Coturnix japonica: one gene and its partner. The protein of the gene in region 1 interacts with the protein of each later gene in a biochemical or structural test. Links are inferred from orthologs where the notes say so. Each region holds a gene or a part of one and is shown on either strand. Other genes may lie near its edges.

Region 1 (3,803 bases):
GCAGCTCGTGCCCAAGGCCACGTGGCCTTGATGGCTGAGCCCGCCAGCACACGCAATCCGCTACTGCTGCATTTGCTTCTGCAAGCCCGAGCAGCTAATGAGCAGATACCAAGGATATCTGCATTCCACCCGCTAATGCCCCAGCCTTGGGAATTAATTTACCTTGAGTTCCTCTGGGGCAGGAGCATTTGTAGGTATTGATGAGATCGATGCAGGTTCCTCCATTCTGGCATGGGTGGGACAAGCACTCATTGATCTCCTCTGAGCAATTAACTCCATGATAACCAGCCACGCACTGTGAGGAGAGGAGAGCTGTCAGAGACCTTCACCCAGCTGCTGCACGGTGCACAGGACATACAAACACCTGATCTATTCCCAATCCACCTGAGTTACCACTACCCTCAGAAAGAGCCCAACACGAGAGCAGCTCTCACCTCACAGGAGTAGCCCCCAAGGTAATCCGTGCAGGTGGCTCCGTTCTGGCAGGGGTTTGGGGAGCACTCATCCACCTGCTCCTCGCAGTAGCTGCCGGTGTAGCCGGCCTGGCAGCGGCAGAAGTGAGTGTTGCCACTGTCCACACACAGCCCTGAATTCCTGCAAAGATGAGCGACGTCGATACCTGCCAGGGAGAGCAGCAAGATCTCAGTGACACCCAGAGAAACAGCTCATCCCAACACAGTGACATTAATCCTTGGGAGACCTGGGGAACCCCAGGCCGTGCACAGGGAATGATGGCAGGGATGTACCTTGCTGCTTTGCAGCCACCTCGCAGGAGACACTGGGGACATCGCAGTAGAGCCCAGTCCAGCCGCTGTTGCACTCGCAGCGGTACAGATTGTTGGTTTGCCAGCACTTGCCCCCATTTTTGCAGGGTGAGGAGTCACACCAGCGCACCAAGTTCTGTGCAGGGAAAGCAAGGGGGGAGATCAGGCCCAGAACAGCTTCTGTAGGATGAAGCCCCATCCCTGCATACGGGGACCCCTGGAATCTTCTCACTACCTGGCAGTTGAGCCCAGTGTATCCCTGGGGACAGGTGCACTTGTACGTCCCGTAGCTGTCCTGACACGTGCCCCCGTTCAGGCAGGGCTTGGAGTCACACTCGTTGATGTTGTGCTCACAGTAGCTGCCCGTGAAGCCGGATGGACAGAGGCAAGTGAAGGTATTGATGCCATCCACGCAGGTCCCCCCATTGAAGCAGGAGCTGGGAGCACAAACACCACATCCTCATGAGTCACCCCCAAGGGCTGACACTCTTGGTACTGGATGCCAGCCCCGAAACCCCTCCAAACCCATGCAGGGACCCCAATCCCACACTGGCAGTACCTCTCAGTGCAGTCCGGCGTGTTGTTCTCACAATGGATGCCACTGAAGCCAGAGGGGCAGGTGCAGGTGTAGCTGTTGACACAGTCAGTGCAGTTGGCCCCGTTCTTGCAGGGGTTGCTGGCACACTCATTGATGTCCTCCTCACACTTGAGCCCACGGAAGCCAGCCAGGCACTCACAGAAGAACGTGCCAATGCCATCCGAGCAGGAGCCACCATTGTGGCATGGATCTGGAAATGGGGCACACATGCATTAGGTGCAATGGGTCCAGCCCTGGTGTTATCCCACACACAGAGGGATGGGACAGAGGCCAGCCCAGCCCCAGCTGGGAAAGCACAAGGCACATGGGACACACTTGCTCACTGCCTGCACGTCACCGTCCCCCCCAGCCTCCTTCCTGCCAGCCACCACCTGGCCTAGATTGACGCAGCCTCACAGGGATGGGGCTGGGACATTCCCAAAGCCCAACAGGCCTGGACCCACACAGAGACACAGCTTTCTGAGCACGGGGAGGCTGATCCATCCCTAGAGACCCCACACAGCCCCAGGTGCCCCTGGTTCTTACTGGGCTGGCAGTCATCAATGTCGGTGTCACAGTTGCGGCCTGCGAAGCCCACCCGGCACAAGCAGCGGTAGCTCCCGTTGGTGTTCTGGCACGTGGCCCCATTGCGGCAGGGGCTCTTCACACACTCATTGATGTCAATCTCACACGTCTGACCTGCGGGACAGCGGGATGGGAACCACGTGAGCTGGGGGGCACTGGCAGAAGCACCAGGGCTGGTTGCTGTGCCCCAGACCCACTTGGCAGAGCAGGCTCACCTTGCCAGCCGGGTGGGCAGCTGCATGAGAACCTCTTGTAGTCCTCCGACTCCCGGCACTCGCCTCCATTCTTGCAGGGGCCGCCAGCACAGGGGGCCAGTACGTCCTCACAGGTGGCTCCTACACAGGGACAGGTGCCCACTGACCACCTCCCAAGGGACAGTGGTGACTACGCAGCCTCCACCTGCCCTCAGCCTGCTTCCTGCAGGGCCTGGGCTGCCCATCTAATCCACAGCCCTCTCCTCCATCTCCATGACCCCTGGCCCCACAAATCTTTAAACTCCTGCAATCTGGGCCTCGTTAAATGGCTGCACATTTCCTCTGGACGGGAAGTGCTGCTCAGGGTGTCTTTTCCCCCCTCCCTCTCCGTTGCTTTTCCTGTTTACATCCAGTCAAGGGACACGTTCCCTCCTAACCCTTATCTTCCCTGTCAGCCAGTATCTCCTGAACTGCCCTTTGCTATTTTCCAGAGCCTTCCCCTCCGCTCCTGCCCTATCCTCATCCCTCCCCCCCAGGGGTTTCTATGGCCACTGCCGAAGGCAGGAAACAGCTCATGGCTTCCTGCTATTGTGCTCTGGCTGCTGCTCTGTGCGAGCGGAAGTGAGAGGATGGCAAACAGGAATCAGCTCAGCAGAATTGCCCGGCCCCGCAGCCTCAAACTGCTTTTTCCAACCCTGGGCACCACGGTGGGAGAACCAACAAGGCCCCTATTGCAGTGGGGTGGGTTCCCAGTGCCTCTGCCCTCTCCAGTGGAGGAAGACACCAGCTGTTCCTCAGTGAGCCTCTCAGTTTCCTCCAGCTGTGCTGTAGCACAGGGGAAGACCTGGGAGCAGAGGGACCTGTCTGCAGCCTTATGGGAGGGCTGAGGGGCTCCTGCCCCCTCACCTGTGTAGGGCAGGAGACAGTTGCAGGTGTAGCCGGCCACGTCGTCGATGCACGTGCCTTGGTTCAGGCAGGGGTTGGAGGCACATTCATTGATATTGGTCTGGCAGTTGGGTCCTGGGTTAGAAAAAAGGAAACAGAGCTTTAAAAACAGGGTGGGGCGGAGTCAGACGCATAGAGAACCTCCTGCTGTCAGCTGAAGCCATGGGACCACAGACTAGCAAAGGTCCTCAACTCCCTCCTGAAGTAGGAATCTCCATCGTGCCTCCAGTGACACCTCTGCTCAATGGCGAAATCCTTCTGGAGCTCCCACCCAGCCCCCGGCACAGGGCAGTGTCCTCAGCCACATCCTTACCGCTGAACCCCTCCCTGCAGGTACAGATGTAACCGCTGGTCATATCCTTGCAGGTGCCACCATTCATGCAGGGGTTGGATTCACACTCATTATTGTTGATGTCGCAATTTGTCCCGCTCCAGCCCGGGTCACAGTCACAGCGGTAACTTTGGGGAAAAACAAGAGGATAAAGCAGAGGCTTTGGTGCCACCTGACCGTGCTTTGGTGCAAGCAGTGCTGTGCCCCAGCCTACCCGTTCAGCCCGTCGTGGCACCTCCCGTGGATGCAGGGGTTGCTGTTGCACTCATTCACTTCAGACAGGCACTTGGGGTCGTGGAAGCCCTCGGGGCAGATGCAGGTGAAGCCGTTGATGCCATCCTTGCACGTGCCCCCGTTGTGGCATGGGTTGCTGGCACACTCATCGATGTTGATGTTGCACATGCGCC
Region 2 (4,452 bases), on another chromosome or scaffold:
CCAATATTAGTAGCAGAATAAAGGCAGCTGCAGGCAGAATTCAGGCAGAACTCAAGAGCCCTATGGAGCGCTGAAGCAAGCTGCTAAGAGCACTATTAAAGCTGCCCAACAGTATGTATTCCTTCTAGCCCCTATTACTGGGGAGCTAAGTACTTTTCCATGGATTTTTACTGTTATTTCAGCAAGCTCTTCACCCACCGCTCCCATTATGGGAGAAAGAAAAGTACTTAAAGATCATTCCAACACCAAGCAGCTAAACCATGCTATGAAATGCAATGCTGGGAGTCTCGTGAGTTCTGAGAGCCCAGCGTGGCTTCTTGGATTGTTTTTCTTCTTCCTCAACACATAATGCTGTCAGCTACCAGAGCAATGCCACAGGGATTTACAACACCAAAATAAGTAGATAAATGTGTCTGCTCTGCCTTGTTTACATGCACCTTCATCTTCCATGCATTCGAGAGCAGTAATAAGTGCAGAGAAGTCATTCCCAGGCTGAAGAATAAGTTGTCAGCTAATAAGGATTTAAATGTTTTATCTGAATTGTGTTTCTTCTTTAGGCTTTAGAAAGGAAGAGAAGTTCTTTGATGTGTTATGTTTGGAGCTGTACACATCAGAGTTTTCACTGAGCCTTAAAACCAACACCTTCCTCAGCTACAGATGAAACAGTTCAGCGCCGCATTACCCAGGCTATCAAAACAACTTCAGAATCATGGGCAAGGACGAACACATCTCACATTTGTTCTTTTGGACTTTGCTCACATTATTTTTTGTATCCCTTCCATGAGATTTTTGCTAGGAAGAAAAAAAAAAAAAAGCAGCATTTCCACAGAGAATTGCCAAGAGATGAAGAAATGGAAAACACACTAACAAGCAGAAAAACAATACCACTGCTCTATGGTAACTATTAACTTCTGCATAATCGTAGAGAGCACGTTAGCAGTAACCATGGATCAATAAGTCAAATAGAAGTGATGAGTCAGAAATCCATTTCAGTATTTACACTTTTTCTCCAAGCCATAGCTGGAGTAGTACTCCAGCCAAAGGGAATGACTGTGCCTTCTGTCTCACCCCCCCACACCGGACCCCAGCTGGAGAGGCAAGAAAGCCAAGAATGAAAACCACAAAACCAACACGACCAACATGACAGCCGGACGCTGTGGTGGTTACAAGCGTCTCCCAATGCAGACGGCTGATAGAGCAGCATTGACAAGACCCTCGATAACGCATTAACACACGCATTGAATAGGAATCCGAGCAAGAGCTCCCTTATCACTTCACGGAGCACTAATGAGCAGGTTACATAAATCCACCGGGCTGAGGGAGCTTCAGAGCCGGGCTGCTGCGAAGCAGGGGCTCTCCTCTGAGGGATGTACCACGTCGCTCGCCAGGCCGGCTCGCTTCCATCGGTGCAATGAAATGAAATGAGTGAAGCGCATTGCAAACAGAAGCCGTGCTTAACCCTCCCGAAAACGAAGCTGGGCCGTGTCCGCCCGCCGCTCCCTCCGGCCCCAGCCGCACGCTGTTGCTCGCCCATCCCCGCCGCCTTCTGCCCGATAACAGCTCCCATTGTGCAGCTGCTCCACGCAGGAAGGCGAAGCCGAGAGCCGCGCTCCCAGGTGGGAAGACACGATCCTCACCTCGGGGGCCGCTCTAACAGCTCCCACCGAGCATCGAACCGAGCGCCGGGCGCCTCGGCCCCGCAGGATTCCCCCACGGTGAGGGCACCCCGCCGGGCCGGGGCCGAGGGCTGCTCGTCCCGCACCGGGGCCGCTACAAAGCGTAGCGGGTCGGGAGGCACCGGGGACCCTCGCGCAGACGCGGGGCCCGGCGTAGGGCTCGTGCAGCCGGCGGCGGCGGAGCAGGAAGCGCCGGGGACCGCTCGGCGAGGCCGGGGACTCCGGGGTCTCCCCACCCGCCGCCGGGCCCTCGCGGCCGCCCTCCCCGGCTCCACCTGCGCCGCGCTGGGCGCCCCACCCCGGTCCCGGCCCGCCGCCCCCTGCCCAGCGCTGACGCCGCAGGGCGTCGCCGCCTCCCTCGGCCCCTCACGTACTTCCCCGGGGCGCTGCCGCCCGCGGCCCCCACCGATCCCCTCGGGCTCCGCCGCCCCGCGCCCGTAATCCAACCTCCCCCCAGGGGCCCCGCCCGCGGCCCCTCGCCCGCCGCGGCTCCGGCCCGGCCTCACCCCGCCCCGCGGCCCGGAGGCGCTCACCTGCCGGCCGCAGCCGCCTCCCTCCGGCGCCTCCTGAGCCGCCCGTCGCCACTGAGCAGCGCCGCCGCTCCCCCCTCCACACAGCGGCTCCGGTCCCCGCCGCCCGCCACGCCCACCCCGGCCGCCCATTGGCCGCCCGTCCCGTCCCTCATTGCCGGGCTGCCCGCGCGGCGCTTCCCGTCACGGCGCCGGCCCCGCCCCGCTCCGCCCACGGGCCCCGAGTGTTTTATTCACTCAGGGGCTTTGGCGCCCCCGCTCCGCTCTGCCGTTCCTGATTGGGTGAAGCGGTGCAAAGGGAGAGCAGCGATAGGACGACGGAGGTGCCAGCTGCGGCTCCGGGCCCGCCTCCCCGCTCGGCGTTAGGCCGCCATGGGGCGGGGGGCGGCTGCGGTGCGTGGGGCCGGGCGGGTTTGGGCCGGGCCGAGGTGGGGGGCAGTGCGGGAGTCTGCTCCATAACCCGGAGTCGGGGCCTGGAGACCATGGGGCCCTGCCTTCCATAGAACAGCCGCGGGTTTTGCCGTGCCGCCGGCTTTCTTCCCTCCGTACAAAAGCGGTCACCCTGCGGGCAGATGTCAGCGGGGAGCTGTGCAGGAGGGAGGGCTGCTACAAAAGGTGCCGGTTTCTCCACAGACCTCCCGTCAGCTGGAGGCTGGGCTACAGTGTGAGCGGGCCGCTCTTAGGGCCCCAAATGTTGTCCCCTGGCCTCCTCCCCCAGTGCCAAGGAGCACAGGCGTGCCTCTGATGAGGATTTTACCTGGGCTGCCTGTTCCCAGCCGCTGTCTCCTCTCACCGGGCATTTGAGCAGCTACTTGATCCAAAACACAAGCTGAAAGAGGTCCTGGAGCATTCCGCTGCCAAGTAAATAAGTAAAAATAAATAAAAAACAAACCAACAAACACAACACCTCAGGAAACTGAAATGGAAAGATTACGTAAGGTTACTCTGTATCATTAGCTCTCTATCTCCTCCCTGCATGCACCAGTACCCCTTGCTCCTCTTTGTTCCTGAATCAAGCAAAGAAAATGACAAAGCATACAGGCTATAACGTGAACTGACATAAGGGAACTGGAATCGGTGCTCATTTCAAAACATGGTGTGCAAAAATCATTTACACTGGAGGTGCTGGGACAGAAGCTGGAGGATGACACAAACTCTGAGTTTCAGACTGACACTGTCCCCCCAAGTCACCACATGTTTGAGAATAAAACAGGAGAAAAAACACATATTTATTCTTACATCTCACGTCACTCTGCTCAGAAAGCAAAACCAGAGCAGATAGCAGCTCTCCTTCTTACTGCTGCCTCTGATACTTGCAGAGTGCTGCTCTCAGACAGCAGCACAACACAGTGATGTTTCACCAGTGTCCCAGAATGACCAGGCAGACATTTCTACCAGCCCTAACATCTCTCGTGCAGTTACAAAAGCTGGAATCATTTCTGACCTGGCCTAGCTCTTAATACGTTGCATTCCCCATGGCTTTAGGTTAACTCTTTACAATTTTTGCTACCTCTGGGCCCGTGACAACGTTTTTGATGAAATATGGCGCATTACACTTCAATTTCTAAGCAAATTCTAAGCATCTTTGTATTATAAAGACACTCTGCTCTTAACTGAGAATTACGTGAGGACAGGTAAAGAGAAGGATAAGACAGCCTATTGTAACTGACGTTCCTGTCTATGCCTCAGCTGTATGTAGCTTTTACAAATATTTATTAGAGATTGAATTTAATTCATTGCAATATTACTTGTCCACTCAGCTATTTGCATCTACCCAACTCCTCATATAGTCATTGGTGACCAGAGGGAAAGGGGTGGCTTTGCTGGGAAAGGAAGATGACCCTAGAAGCCACCTTAACAGAACCAGCTGAGCACCCAACACAGCAAACGTCACATTTGCTACACTGACCTGTGGGTCTCCCCCTGTACAGTTGGTCTTCATGCACGGAGTTGCAATGAAAATTAGTTCTCTGAGGCCTCATATTGGAAGCAGGGCTTCAGGGTGCTTTATTCTTTTTTTAGTAACAAAGAAATGGAAGAGACATCATAGCACATCAAAGATATCCAGCCCTACTGCCCCTTCCCCACCTTTTAAGAGAAGAGCATTCTGTGGGTAATATGCTGGATAATGGAGCTGGCTGTGCCCATGTGCTCCTGATAGCGGTACCATTTTAAACGAGATCCTTTCTGGTCTCACTGAGACAGCAGAATAGTCTGCTATCCCCTAAGGAGCTGAGAGTATATTA

The links.
Region 2: the proteins of NOTCH1 (region 1) and NUMB form a complex in vitro, tested with the Homo sapiens proteins (2 studies listed by BioGRID). The link is inferred for Coturnix japonica from reciprocal best matches to the Homo sapiens genes NOTCH1 and NUMB.

Annotation. Positions count from the first base shown.
Region 1 is NC_029532.1:6,325,251-6,329,053, reverse strand, and holds part of NOTCH1 (neurogenic locus notch homolog protein 1), read right to left. Parts: coding exon 3,611-3,803; intron 3,525-3,610; coding exon 3,379-3,524; intron 3,141-3,378; coding exon 3,027-3,140; intron 2,262-3,026; coding exon 2,142-2,261; intron 2,041-2,141; coding exon 1,888-2,040; intron 1,553-1,887; coding exon 1,324-1,552; intron 1,202-1,323; coding exon 1,000-1,201; intron 901-999; coding exon 747-900; intron 620-746; coding exon 435-619; intron 296-434; coding exon 163-295; intron 1-162. UniProt on the Homo sapiens protein: Functions as a receptor for membrane-bound ligands Jagged-1 (JAG1), Jagged-2 (JAG2) and Delta-1 (DLL1) to regulate cell-fate determination.
Region 2 is NC_029520.1:23,486,923-23,491,374, reverse strand, and holds the start of NUMB (protein numb homolog), read right to left. Parts: upstream 3,063-4,452; 5' UTR 2,964-3,062; intron 2,322-2,963; exon of another isoform or gene 2,210-2,321; intron 2,072-2,209; exon of another isoform or gene 2,051-2,071; intron 1,766-2,050; exon of another isoform or gene 1,638-1,765; intron 1-1,637. UniProt on the Homo sapiens protein: Regulates clathrin-mediated receptor endocytosis. Plays a role in the process of neurogenesis.